Saccharomyces cerevisiae S288C: one gene and its partners. Changing the gene in region 2 together with the main gene of any one other region gives a genetic interaction. Each region holds a gene or a part of one and is shown on either strand. Other genes may lie near its edges. The genes, in order: VPS71, DEG1, URM1 and ELP6.

Region 1 (3,035 bases), on a different chromosome or scaffold from region 2:
TTGCCAGGGTCACAATGTCGTTTGCCTCTTGGGTATCAGATTGCATTTTTTCAATACTTTTGGAAAGAATTTTCATGATATCCGTATAATCAACGGATAGGATGTCTTTGACCCAGGTAGGTAGGAATTGAGAGGGAGCAAATATTTGAAAAGTGTTATACAAGAAGGTGAGTTCATCATCAGTGATCTGACGTACGGGTTTTCCGTTTACTGTCGGAATAATACCACCGAGATTCGAGTTTTGTAAAAATTTGATGTATGTTTTAACCCAATTTGGAAAGTCATTAGGTGAGGTTAACATTGGTGGTGGTCTGACATATTTTTTAGTGGATGTCATATCAGAGTCCGCTGAGGATGAATCAGTAAATGTATTACCTGACTCAGGTGATGGAGTGCTCAGAGGCGTTCCAACTGATGATGGATACTGCGGAAACTGTGATTGTGGCCCAGGTGGAAAGTACATAGGCGACATTTGATAAGGTGTATACGGAATCATAGATGGGTGTCCGTAAAATGACCAACCAGATGGATTGGCTTGGTTTTGGGTCATCATGCACTGCTGTGGGTACGGCCCATTCTGTGGAGGTGGTACTGAAGCAGGTTGAGGAGAGGCATGATGGGGGTTCTCTGGAACAGCTGATGAAGCAGGTGTTGTTGTCTGTTGAGAGTTAGCCTTAGTGGAAGCCTTCTCACATTCTTCTGTTTTGGAAGCTGAAACGTCTAACGGATCTTGATTTGTGTGGACTTCCTTAGAAGTAACCGAAGCACAGGCGCTACCATGAGAAATATGTGAATGTTGAGATAATTGTTGGGATTCCATTGTTGATAAAGGCTATAATATTAGGTATACAGAATATACTAGAAGTTCTCCTCGAGGATATAGGAATCCTCAAAATGGAATCTATATTTCTACATACTAATATTACGATTATTCCTCATTCCGTTTTATATGTTTATATTCATTGATCCTATTACATTATCAATCCTTGCGTTTCAGCTTCCACTAATTTAGATGACTATTTCTCATCATTTGCGTCATCTTCTAACACCGTATATGATAATATACTAGTAATGTAAATACTAGTTAGTAGATGATAGTTGATTTCTATTCCAACAACTAGTAACACGAATACTACTAAACAAATGATATTTTAGAGTTCCATTTCAACATTATGCACTCAATATTCATTATTGTTGTTAAGGGCTTAATATTGTAGTTGTCAGAAAACTTTTACTATTCGGTGATTCCTTAGTGGCTAAGATTCACAAGTTCACAAGGGCGTGTGGTCTAGTGGTATGATTCTCGCTTTGGGCGACTTCCTGATTAAACAGGAAGACAAAGCATGCGAGAGGCCCTGGGTTCAATTCCCAGCTCGCCCCTTTTTTTGATATTTTTTTTGGAGTATTACAAAAACGACCATTCATTAAGGAAGTGAAGTCGGTGGAATAGCTAGAGAGCTTATATTTATTTAGTCGTTGCTTTATGTAACGAAGCAATCAATAAAATATTTGTGTTCTGTAGAAATAACTTTGATCCGGGTAATAGATAATTAATAACTACTTTTTTTATAATGAACATGATGATCTTTGTGAGTATTAACAAAAGTCGAAGCGGCCCTTTCAATCTATAGTAACGTCGATATCATTGATAGATCGAAGAAAAAGAACGGATCGCTTACTCATAACAGCGAAATGAAGGCGCTAGTTGAAGAGATTGATAAGAAAACTTACAATCCTGACATATATTTCACGTCATTGGATCCTCAAGCACGTCGATATACTTCAAAGAAGATTAATAAGCAAGGCACAATATCCACCTCTAGGCCCGTAAAGCGCATAAACTACTCACTGGCAGATTTAGAGGCCAGGTTATATACTTCGAGATCTGAGGGAGATGGCAATAGTATAAGCAGACAGGATGACCGAAATAGTAAGAATTCCCATTCATTTGAAGAAAGGTACACACAACAAGAGATTCTCCAGTCGGACAGGAGGTTTATGGAACTTAACACAGAAAATTTCTCGGATTTACCAAATGTACCGACTTTATTAAGTGATCTCACAGGCGTACCACGAGATAGAATTGAATCAACAACCAAACCGATCTCACAGACCTCGGATGGTCTCTCTGCATTAATGGGTGGTTCTTCTTTTGTAAAAGAGCATTCCAAGTATGGTCATGGTTGGGTGCTTAAACCAGAAACCTTACGGGAAATACAATTATCGTATAAATCTACAAAACTACCTAAACCAAAGAGGAAGAATACCAATCGTATTGTGGCGTTAAAGAAGGTTTTAAGTTCAAAAAGAAATTTACATTCGTTTTTAGATTCTGCGCTGCTAAACTTGATGGATAAGAATGTCATTTACCACAATGTTTACAATAAACGATACTTCAAAGTGTTACCCCTAATTACGACATGCTCTATTTGCGGTGGCTACGATAGTATTTCAAGTTGCGTTAATTGTGGAAATAAGATTTGTTCTGTAAGTTGTTTTAAATTGCATAATGAAACTAGGTGCAGAAATAGATAGTAATGATCAGTATGTATTCGTAAGCCCTTTTTTCTCCCCTATTTATACGTATGTAAGTGTAGATACTTAACAAAAATATTCACAAATTAATTGAAGAGGAAAGGTGAAAAATTCATAACTTTGCTTTTCGTTTATTCTCATTTTCCAAGGCGTCAAAAATTTCATCAGCAGCTTGAGATAAATAATAGTGTAATCTGTTAACACTGGCTCCACTCTTGGCTGGTTTGTTGACAATATTGATATGCAGCCACTCGTTATTCAACATGTATGCCAGTCCAAACCCGTTGTCATTTACTTGAGACCAACCATAACCGTCAAAATATTCCGAAGATAGTTGAGATGTGGAGATCAACCAAGTTGAAGAATAATTAAATAAGGGATCTTTGAAAAGGGGCGGAATTTGGTCATCATTAGATTTTAGCATATTCTTTAGACCGAAGAAATGACGATCGACACCATTACCATTTGCAGCATTTTTCAGGTACGTAGAATGCTCTTTT
Region 2 (3,441 bases):
AAAAACTAAAAAAAAAAAGTGGAGTACAAAAATAAGGTCAAAATACATAGTTAAAATTTTGCTTCTTGATAATGAGATGAGGTAATTACAAGAGTTCTGCTTTCCTTCCCAAACAGTTTATTTTATAGTTGGTCTCTATATCAAGTGTTGAGTAAGTAATCGAATGGAAATTACGTACTTTCAACGCAAGAGCAAGACAAAAGAAAGCCTAAAACTGTCTTTTCGTGTCGGTCGTCCAATATCATCGTAAACGTGTGTAGAGCCTTAAATTCTAATTTCTAACTTTAAATTTTTTTTGCTATTATAATACTAATTTCTAACTTTCAACCTATTTTACATCTTCGGAAAACAAAAACTATTTTTTCTTTAATTTCTTTTTTTACTTTCTATTTTTAATTTATATATTTATATTAAAAAATTTAAATTATAATTATTTTTATAGCACGTGATGAAAAGAAATATAGTCTTCAAGGTTATATTATACAGGTTTATATATTATTTTACTTATTTTTGTTGTTCTTTTTCTTGGAGTATTTAGCATTAACAACTTCGACAGGTTCCATAACGCTTCTATCCTCTAGTTTCACATAGGTACCGACTACTTTACCTCTTCCATCGCCCAAATTAATAATTGTCTTTGAGAAGTTGTTTGTATTTGCTGTGGGCAAAACATCTTTAAAAATATTGCATACTGCGGCCTTAAGTTCGTAGTGTAACGTCAATGCTTCAGTAGCTGTCGTGAATTTTATTGCCTTATAGTCATCTACAGTAGGTTCTTGCCAATCCATTTCAGGAAATTTACAATCATATAACAATAATGGTATATCATTTGCCATTTCGTAAACAGGCCTTTGAGGGGTTTTCTCAATATCAGTCAGACGCAAGACAATTTCCGGCACTTCAAGTGATTGACCAACTAAGAAAAGAATGGCCATCATGCAACGAACTTGGTGCCATAGGAATGCTGAACCAACGAGATCAAAACAATAGAAAGTTTCAGAAAGGGGAAGAATTTTTGAGCTTATTATTGTTCGTTTAAAATTGGTAATTTGTTTTGAGCCATCAAGCTTACAAAAATTCCTGAAGTCTCTCTCTCCAACAAAATATGATGCGGCTTTAGACATTTTTTCAATATTAAGGTTTTTTCCATTAAAGATGTACTTATAGTGCCGGTGAACACAGCTGAATCTTGCGTCAAAGTTAGGTGGCGGTCTGAGGCAGACAGCTGATATACGAATATCGTCGGGTAGTAATTGATTTAAAACGTGAACATAGGGTATTTCCCTGCTGTCGTTGGTCGGATCCCGCTGTTCCTCATCTGTTAAATTGGAACGGACTTCTAACGATATAACTTGGTTCATGGCGCTAACTCCCTTGTCTGTTCTGCCACATCTGCTAAATTTATAGTCTTGTAAAACCATCGAGGGAACAAGTTTACACTTATTCATGGCCTCCAAAATGGTACCCTCTACTGTAGGCAACGGTGTGTATTCCTTCTGAACAGCTAAGCCATTGTAATTCCATCCCAAATAGGCAAATCTCAAGGCGATGAACCTGGTATTATGTTTAGAAAAGTCAAACTTCTTCGGAGCCTTTTTCGCCTTGCTTCTCGTAACCTCTTCTTGCGAAATTTTGCGCTTTTTGTTATCCTCGATGTGCTGGAATTTTTCAGAATGTGGCTTATTTGCGTTTTCTAGTTCAGTGATCCTTCGTATTAGCTGCTCTTTGGACCAGTTTGCGTAAATGGAGTCCTTCTTACTAACAATAGCATTGGTACCTGTTGAAATCGCTTTCATTTTCCCAACTAGCCTTCTAATGAAATTACTCATTCAAGGGAGGTTATAGTAGGGCAGTAAAGATTGCATGTGGGCACCTCGAGAATACTATATTATTCTTTATTTTGAGCCGGCTTTTCGCTTTCAAAAATTTTTCACTGAAAAACAAAGTGAGCTTTTCAAGATGAGCTGAGCCCATTGATTTGAGGTGTAGTAAGATAATATTAAAAGCTCAGCAGCAATAAAAACAATGTCAAAGTCATTGGAATGGGATAATCTCGGGTTTTCTTTACTTCCCTGGATAAGGACAGGACTCGATGTTATGGGTTTTGAGACCATGACTCCAGTCCAAGCATCGACAATTCCCATGCTTGCTGGCAACAAGGATGTAGTAGTTGATTCTGTAACAGGCTCAGGTAAGACCGCTGCGTTTGTTATACCTGTACTAGAAAAAGTTGTAAAGGAAGAAGCGAATACATCAAAATTCAAGAAAGCACACTTCCACTCGTTAATTATTGCTCCAACAAGAGAATTGTCACGCCAAATTGAGTCTGTCGTTCTATCATTTCTGGAACATTATCCTTCCGACTTGTTCCCTATTAAATGTCAGCTCCTGGTTGGTACTAATGAAGCCACAGTTAGAGATGATGTAAGTAATTTTCTGCGGAATAGACCGCAGATTCTGATTGGAACACCTGGTAGAGTTTTGGACTTTTTACAAATGCCAGCAGTAAAGACGTCAGCATGCAGTATGGTAGTTATGGATGAAGCAGACAGATTGTTGGATATGAGTTTTATTAAGGATACCGAAAAAATTCTGAGGCTATTGCCTAAACAAAGAAGGACGGGTCTATTTTCTGCAACTATGCGTAGCGCCGGATCAGATATCTTTAAGACAGGGCTTAGAAATCCTGTCAGGATTACCGTTAACTCTAAGAACCAGGCGCCCTCCTCTTTGAAATTAAATTACTGTGTCGTAAATCCTGCCGAAAAACTACAACTTTTGGTTAGCATTTTGAATAACTACAAATTCAAGAAATGTATTGTATATTTTCCAACATGTGTGTCAGTCTCCTACTTCTACTCATTTATCCAGTATTTGGGAAAGAGGAATATTCTCGTGAATGAAGTAGAAATATTTTCCTTGCATGGAAAACTTCAAACATCGGCAAGGACAAAAACTCTAACAGCTTTTACTGATTCGCTAAGTAATTCTGTTTTATTCACAACAGATGTGGCTGCTAGAGGTATTGACATACCCGACGTTGATCTCGTCATCCAGCTTGATCCCCCTACCAATACTGATATGTTCATGCATAGATGTGGTAGAACTGGTAGAGCAAATAGAGTGGGTAAAGCAATTACGTTTCTTAATGAAGGCAGAGAAGAGGATTTTATTCCTTTCATGCAAGTTAAAAATGTGGAACTTGAAGAACTTGATTTGGAAGTAAAGGGCATAACAACAAACTTTTACGAGGACTTTAGAAATTGGATACTAGAAGATAGGGATAGATTTGATAAAGGTGTTAAAGCATATGTTGCCTTTATTAAATACTACTCAAATCATTCCGCAACTTCAATTTTTAGGCTTCAATCTTTAGATTATGTTGGTATTGCGAAATTGTATGGTCTTTTCCGCCTGCCTAGAATGCCTGAGATAACAAAG
Region 3 (2,433 bases), on a different chromosome or scaffold from region 2:
GGCGGTCTCTTTCACTTACGATGGATGGTTTCGTACTGGTGATATTGTTGAATGGACTCCCAAGGGACAACTTAAAATTATTGATAGAAGAAAGAATTTGGTTAAAACCCTAAATGGTGAATATATTGCATTAGAAAAGTTAGAATCTGTTTACAGGTCAAACTCCTATGTGAAAAATATCTGTGTTTATGCCGATGAAAGTAGGGTTAAACCGGTGGGTATTGTGGTACCCAACCCAGGACCCCTATCTAAATTTGCTGTCAAATTGCGTATTATGAAAAAGGGTGAAGACATCGAAAACTATATCCATGACAAAGCATTACGAAATGCTGTTTTCAAAGAGATGATCGCAACAGCCAAATCTCAAGGTTTGGTTGGTATTGAACTATTATGTGGTATTGTTTTCTTTGATGAAGAATGGACACCTGAAAATGGCTTTGTCACATCTGCTCAAAAATTAAAGAGAAGAGAAATCTTAGCCGCTGTTAAATCAGAAGTCGAAAGGGTTTACAAAGAAAATTCTTAGAGAGAAGCTTATTACCTTCCCCTTCCATCTATGCACGGTGTCTCGTACTTCCATAGAGCACCGATTAGTGAATACTAAAACTATGTGCGTGATAAATGGTTCTCTTTTACAGATGCGGTAAATCAATTATTGATATACTACATAACATACAAACATGTTTCATTTCCGTAATACAAATTACAATTGTATAATTAAAAAATATAAAAAACTTCGTGATATGAAATCACATTTTGCTATTGAGTTTGCCACATGAGCGGTATACGAACTATTCGTTATTTTATGACTTTAAAAGCCATACCGAAAGTAGGCTTGAGAAGTATGACTACTGTAGGAGTGACCACTACTGTTAAATGCAGATAGCCGTCTTATGCTCTTCCCTTGTTCTTCTGAATTGGGAATGCATAGCTTGAAACATCAATCTTAATAAGGTCTTGTTTGTTTCTGCTTGGCTTTCATAGTAGCAAATAGTTTCGACCTTAATGTAAGAAATAAAAGCAATCGTTAATTTGAGTAAAGATAACCACTCTTCCTCTTCTACTATCAATATAATAAGAATAACGCTTATGGTTTATTTTAGCTTTTTTGAAAGCTAAACATTAAAAAAGAATAAAAATGCACGGCATACCTACATATTTTAAAAACATATATTTTATGATTGACTTTAGCAAAAGTTGGCGCTGGGTACTTTGAGACTCTTTCCTACAAAACGTTACCAACACTTGCTAGTCTAATCTAATCTACTTAATCAAGGTTTTAGTGGCGTACCATGTGACGGCCATCAAATGCCATCAGTTCTACAAGTTCACATATATTTATATATAACTATTCTCCTAACTTGTATAATATTATACCGAGACAGAGGATAGATTCAATTGATTTCACATACCGGATTATGTTCCTTCCCAAGTTCTCAATCTTATTTAGACTTTTTTTTTTAATTACATTGTCGCCCACTTCGGCAGAAAAAATATAACGACAAAGTAATGGCATCGCATCGACCTAATGAAATACTACTGGCAGACGGTATGGAGAGCTCAAAAATTCCCAAAGCAGAAAACAATACTGATTTCTGATACTAAAACGAGATAGGTTAATAGCAAAATCGGGATGGTAAACGTGAAAGTGGAGTTTCTAGGTGGACTTGATGCTATTTTTGGAAAACAAAGAGTACATAAAATTAAGATGGACAAAGAAGATCCTGTCACAGTGGGCGATTTGATTGACCACATTGTATCTACTATGATCAATAACCCTAATGACGTTAGTATCTTCATCGAAGATGATTCTATAAGACCCGGTATCATCACATTAATCAACGACACCGATTGGGAGCTCGAAGGCGAAAAAGACTACATATTGGAAGACGGTGACATCATCTCTTTTACTTCAACATTACATGGTGGTTAAAAATAGCAGCAAATAATTTTTAAGAAGCAGCTACATATATATATATAAAGTGCTGTACAGCTTGAATGAATCACAAGTTAGATAACGTAGGTAATATGCAGATAGTATAAAAAGTAATAGTAATAACTGGATTGGTTTTTTTTAGTACATGACGAAGATTATAGCTCTTGTATCCTACAACCCAAAAGACCTCTACCATTCCAGTTTCTCGAAGGTGTTAGCGATGTCTTTAGGATTTGCCCTTCTCTCAAGAGAAGGACGGGAAGTGGCCTGTCTTCATTTTTCATTACAACCATCTGAATGTTTTGAAGTTTAGAGTGGTTTGCCGCATGCACATTACCAATAGAAATCAGCTTATCATCAACCTTTATGTCTGCTTTATCTGAAGGGCTACCGGGTACTACCTCACTGATAAATGCAAAAGGGATGGTATACTGAATAGCTTGATCGTCGTTATTCCTTCTTGCATCTTGGTTTGACTTAACGTTCATATTATCAAA
Region 4 (3,314 bases), on a different chromosome or scaffold from region 2:
CCGCTGGCGTTTAAATTTAAGTATCATCTGGAAAGAAAATTAAAAAATATTGCCACTATGGAATTTCGACATAGGATGGAGGTATTGGATAATTTAGGCCTGTTGTGCTCATTAATAAAAAGACTAATAATTGATGAAAAGACTCCCAGATCAGCTACGGAGATTGCTGTGGTACCAAGGATGAAAAGTCTATCATTAACAAGGATTATTGAAGGTCAACTAAACAACATTCCATACTGGATAAAATCTGGTGAACGAAGTACATGGCCCGCACTAGCTTTAATTAAGACAAGATGTGCAGTCGAATTTAAATTAGACGACATAATAAGAGCAAGACGGAGTAGGTAGTATCGTTTCCACTTTTTTCTGTCTTATTTTTTTTATTGATAGAGCTCGATTGCATATATTTTTCATTGATATTGTACTTAAAAATATATTCAGTTCATAGAAAAAACAATAATACGAGAATCAATGTGCCTCGTATATAATCTTATCATTATTTAGCGATAAAATAGTTTTGTTGACTCCTTCTCATTCAGATATAGGTATTCATTTTCAACGACGTGTAGGCTTGTGTTTGAAGTTGCAATGGGTGCGCCGCCCCTGCAAACGTGCAATGAGCCGGTTACGTCCTTTGCAAAACCGGTCTTCAGAGGATTCAAGTTCAAATTAATCATTGATTTGATAAAGGAAGATTTGTAGAAATTTTGCAGATTCGAGGAATGAACAGAAGCATCGTATTCATCTATATTAAATATGTCCGAATTGGAAACAATGATTAGCACTTTGCATTGCCTCAAAAGAGGTGTGATGAACTTATTGTTTAATTCTGAACAAGTTAGGCCGCTTACTAGCGACAACAGTAATTCTGGTTGTTCGATGATAACAATGGTGTCAGTTGGGTTATTTTGTATAGCAGCGGAGAACTTTGCGAGTACGTCACTTAGTATTTTGTCTCTTGGCTTATTATGGATATTATTAACGATGAAGTCGGACAGGAAGTCTAAAACATTGTAGTTATTAGATGGGATCTTTAGCTTGTTTAATGAATTTGTAAAATAGTTCTGTTCGTGGATAAACGACGCAAGGACTGCATGGGAGCGAGTTGACGAAGGTAGCATCGATGAAGAAGATTCATTAAGGGAACTTGGGGAACCTAACACGTGCGTTTCTACTAGTGCGTTTATCATCCATAGTGGTTGAGTACAGGATTGATGGGTGATGAAGAATAAGTTATGAGAGTTGCTGTCTTGGAAAAAGTGGGCAGGAAGCACTGATTGGTCGCTGAATAGGACCAAATCTTGTCGTTGAACACTACCCATAAATGTGTATTTAGTTATTTTTGTGGAGGTTCTGGACGGTTTTTGCCTAACTTCTACTAGCCTCAATTTAGTACTTTTATTTTTTTTTCATTTTTCATTCTGCTCATCGCCTATCAATTCATGCCTAAGAGATGCAAAGATAGCGTACTATAGATGTGAAAAGTTGGATAAACAAAGCCCATGATATAAGCCACGGCTTCAGCCTTAAAATTGGGGTTAAAGGCTAAGAACGAATTGCAAATTCTTTTGCTTCAGCAGGAATTTTCCAACAGCAAAGTATAAAAAATCTATCTAAGCCGCTTTTAAATTAAGGAGCGTATATAAAATTATATAATCACACTCGAAGGACCAATCTGTGCTCTACATACCTTACGCGCTCTAATAATATGATCTATGCTTCATCAGTCTTGTTTATTCTTAAAGTATTTTTTTTTATGTTTGGTTCTTGTTATTGAACAAAAAAATGAATTAACCCGAACACTACCAAATCAATAGCAGAAGAAAAGAAGAAAATGATAAAATAAAGGTGAGAACCATTTTAAAGCATTATTCATTATGAAATCCTCCTATCTAGTATAACTTGATTCGACACCTTGCTAATATTTCTCTGAAGCACTGTCTTTAGAGGCAAAACGGTACTATCGCATATTCTTACCCGGTTTCAAGTTTTGCCCTCACGCTTTTTTAGGGAGAAATGACTTCCACCGAAAGGATAATTTGAGAACACCACTACAACTTAAAGTCCAAGAGCTTCATCAGTACAACGAGTTCGTATCATCAAGAACGCACATCAGCAGAATAATGGGAGGTATACTTAAAAACCCGCTAGCCTTATCGCCGGAGCAGCTGGCGCAACAGGATCCAGAAACGCTTGAAGAGTTTAGAAGACAAGTTTACGAAAATACGCAGAAAAATGCCAAATTGACATCACATAAAAGGAATATACCGGGACTAGATAATACAAAAGAGGAGGGGGAGATAATTGGAACATCGAGTACCTTCCTTCCAAAGGACACACTGTCACTGAAACATGAGCAAGACATGTTGGCCAAGATGACACCAGAAGAGCGAGTTCAATGGAACCAAAGAAATTTAGCAGAAAATGAAATAACAAAAAAGCAGTTCCAAGATATTCACATAGACGAGCCCAAGACCCCCTACCAAGGTGCTGTGGACCCTCACGGGGAATACTACAGAGTAGATGATGATGAAGATGAGGATAATAGTGATAAAAAACCATGCCAGGTGGCAAACGATGACATCGACGATTTGTCCCTGGGCGAACCGGAATTTGAAATCAAAGAGAACAAACAACCGGATTTTGAGACCAACGACGAGAATGATGAAGACTCACCGGAGGCTAGACATAAGAAATTTGAAGAAATGAGAAAGAAGCATTACGACGTAAGGGCAATTTTCAACAAAAAGTCCCGTGAAGCGCTAAAGGACGAAGACGAAGACGAAGATGATAGTACGACAAAAGAACCATGAAACATGACACCTCCATAACGTTTACCTATACTAAATATATCTTATTTTTTGGATTCTTGGTACATAAATATGCACTGTTTGTTATCACGCGAAACGAACTGATTTTTTAACAAGCTTTATTTTATACATGAAAAATTTCCCATCGATGAGCTGTGATCGGCAAGTGAGAGTACTCTGTTTCACAACTACTACCGGTCCCAGGAATATATACTACTGACCACAAAGCTGTGTATCACTTAGTTTGATGAGCAGCACGAGGAAGTTCAAAAAGGTTGAGAAACCTCTATCACAAACCAGACATTATTCACTCTGTATCCCCACGACATTGGTATCGGACTGTCGCAACCTCTCTCAAATCACGCATAAGGTGTACCAAGTGGCCAAGTTTGCATCGCTGTTTAATGTTTCTGAGGTTGTCATTCTTGAGGACAATTCCCAGGTCGATGCCACCAAAAAAAAAATCTCCACTGCTAAATTAATACTGGCACTTTTACAATACTT

Evidence for each region.
Region 1: mutations in DEG1 (region 2) and VPS71 together harm fitness more than expected from each alone (negative genetic interaction), as found in Saccharomyces cerevisiae (5 studies listed by BioGRID).
Region 3: mutations in DEG1 (region 2) and URM1 together harm fitness more than expected from each alone (negative genetic interaction), as found in Saccharomyces cerevisiae (5 studies listed by BioGRID, with this or other methods).
Region 4: mutations in DEG1 (region 2) and ELP6 together harm fitness more than expected from each alone (negative genetic interaction), as found in Saccharomyces cerevisiae (4 studies listed by BioGRID).

What each region holds. Positions count from the first base shown.
Region 1 is NC_001145.3:194,413-197,447, reverse strand, and holds VPS71 (Vps71p), read left to right. Parts: upstream 1-1,692; coding exon 1,693-2,535; downstream 2,536-3,035. Other genes in the region: YML040W (gag protein), read right to left, coding at 1-820; carnitine O-acetyltransferase CAT2, read right to left, coding at 2,648-3,035. UniProt on the Saccharomyces cerevisiae protein: Participates in the catalytic exchange of histone H2A for the H2A variant HZT1, an euchromatin-specific factor, leading to chromatin remodeling and changes in transcription of targeted genes. Indirectly involved in vacuolar protein sorting.
Region 2 is NC_001138.5:145,519-148,959, reverse strand, and holds DEG1 (pseudouridine synthase DEG1), read right to left. Parts: upstream 1,830-3,441; coding exon 501-1,829; downstream 1-500. Other genes in the region: ATP-dependent RNA helicase SPB4, read left to right, coding at 2,026-3,441. UniProt on the Saccharomyces cerevisiae protein: Formation of pseudouridines at positions 38 and 39 in the anticodon stem and loop of transfer RNAs.
Region 3 is NC_001141.2:340,903-343,335, forward strand, and holds URM1 (ubiquitin-related modifier URM1), read left to right. Parts: upstream 1-1,633; coding exon 1,634-1,933; downstream 1,934-2,433. Other genes in the region: long-chain fatty acid-CoA ligase FAA3, read left to right, coding at 1-526; NAS2 (Nas2p), read right to left, coding at 2,092-2,433.
Region 4 is NC_001145.3:896,413-899,726, reverse strand, and holds ELP6 (Elongator subunit ELP6), read right to left. Parts: upstream 1,323-3,314; coding exon 501-1,322; downstream 1-500. Other genes in the region: TGL3 (bifunctional triglyceride lipase/lysophosphatidylethanolamine acyltransferase), read left to right, coding at 1-348; PP1-complex regulatory subunit GLC8, read left to right, coding at 2,124-2,813; UPA2 (putative methyltransferase), read left to right, coding at 3,058-3,314. UniProt on the Saccharomyces cerevisiae protein: Component of the elongator complex which is required for multiple tRNA modifications, including mcm5U (5-methoxycarbonylmethyl uridine), mcm5s2U (5-methoxycarbonylmethyl-2-thiouridine), and ncm5U (5-carbamoylmethyl uridine).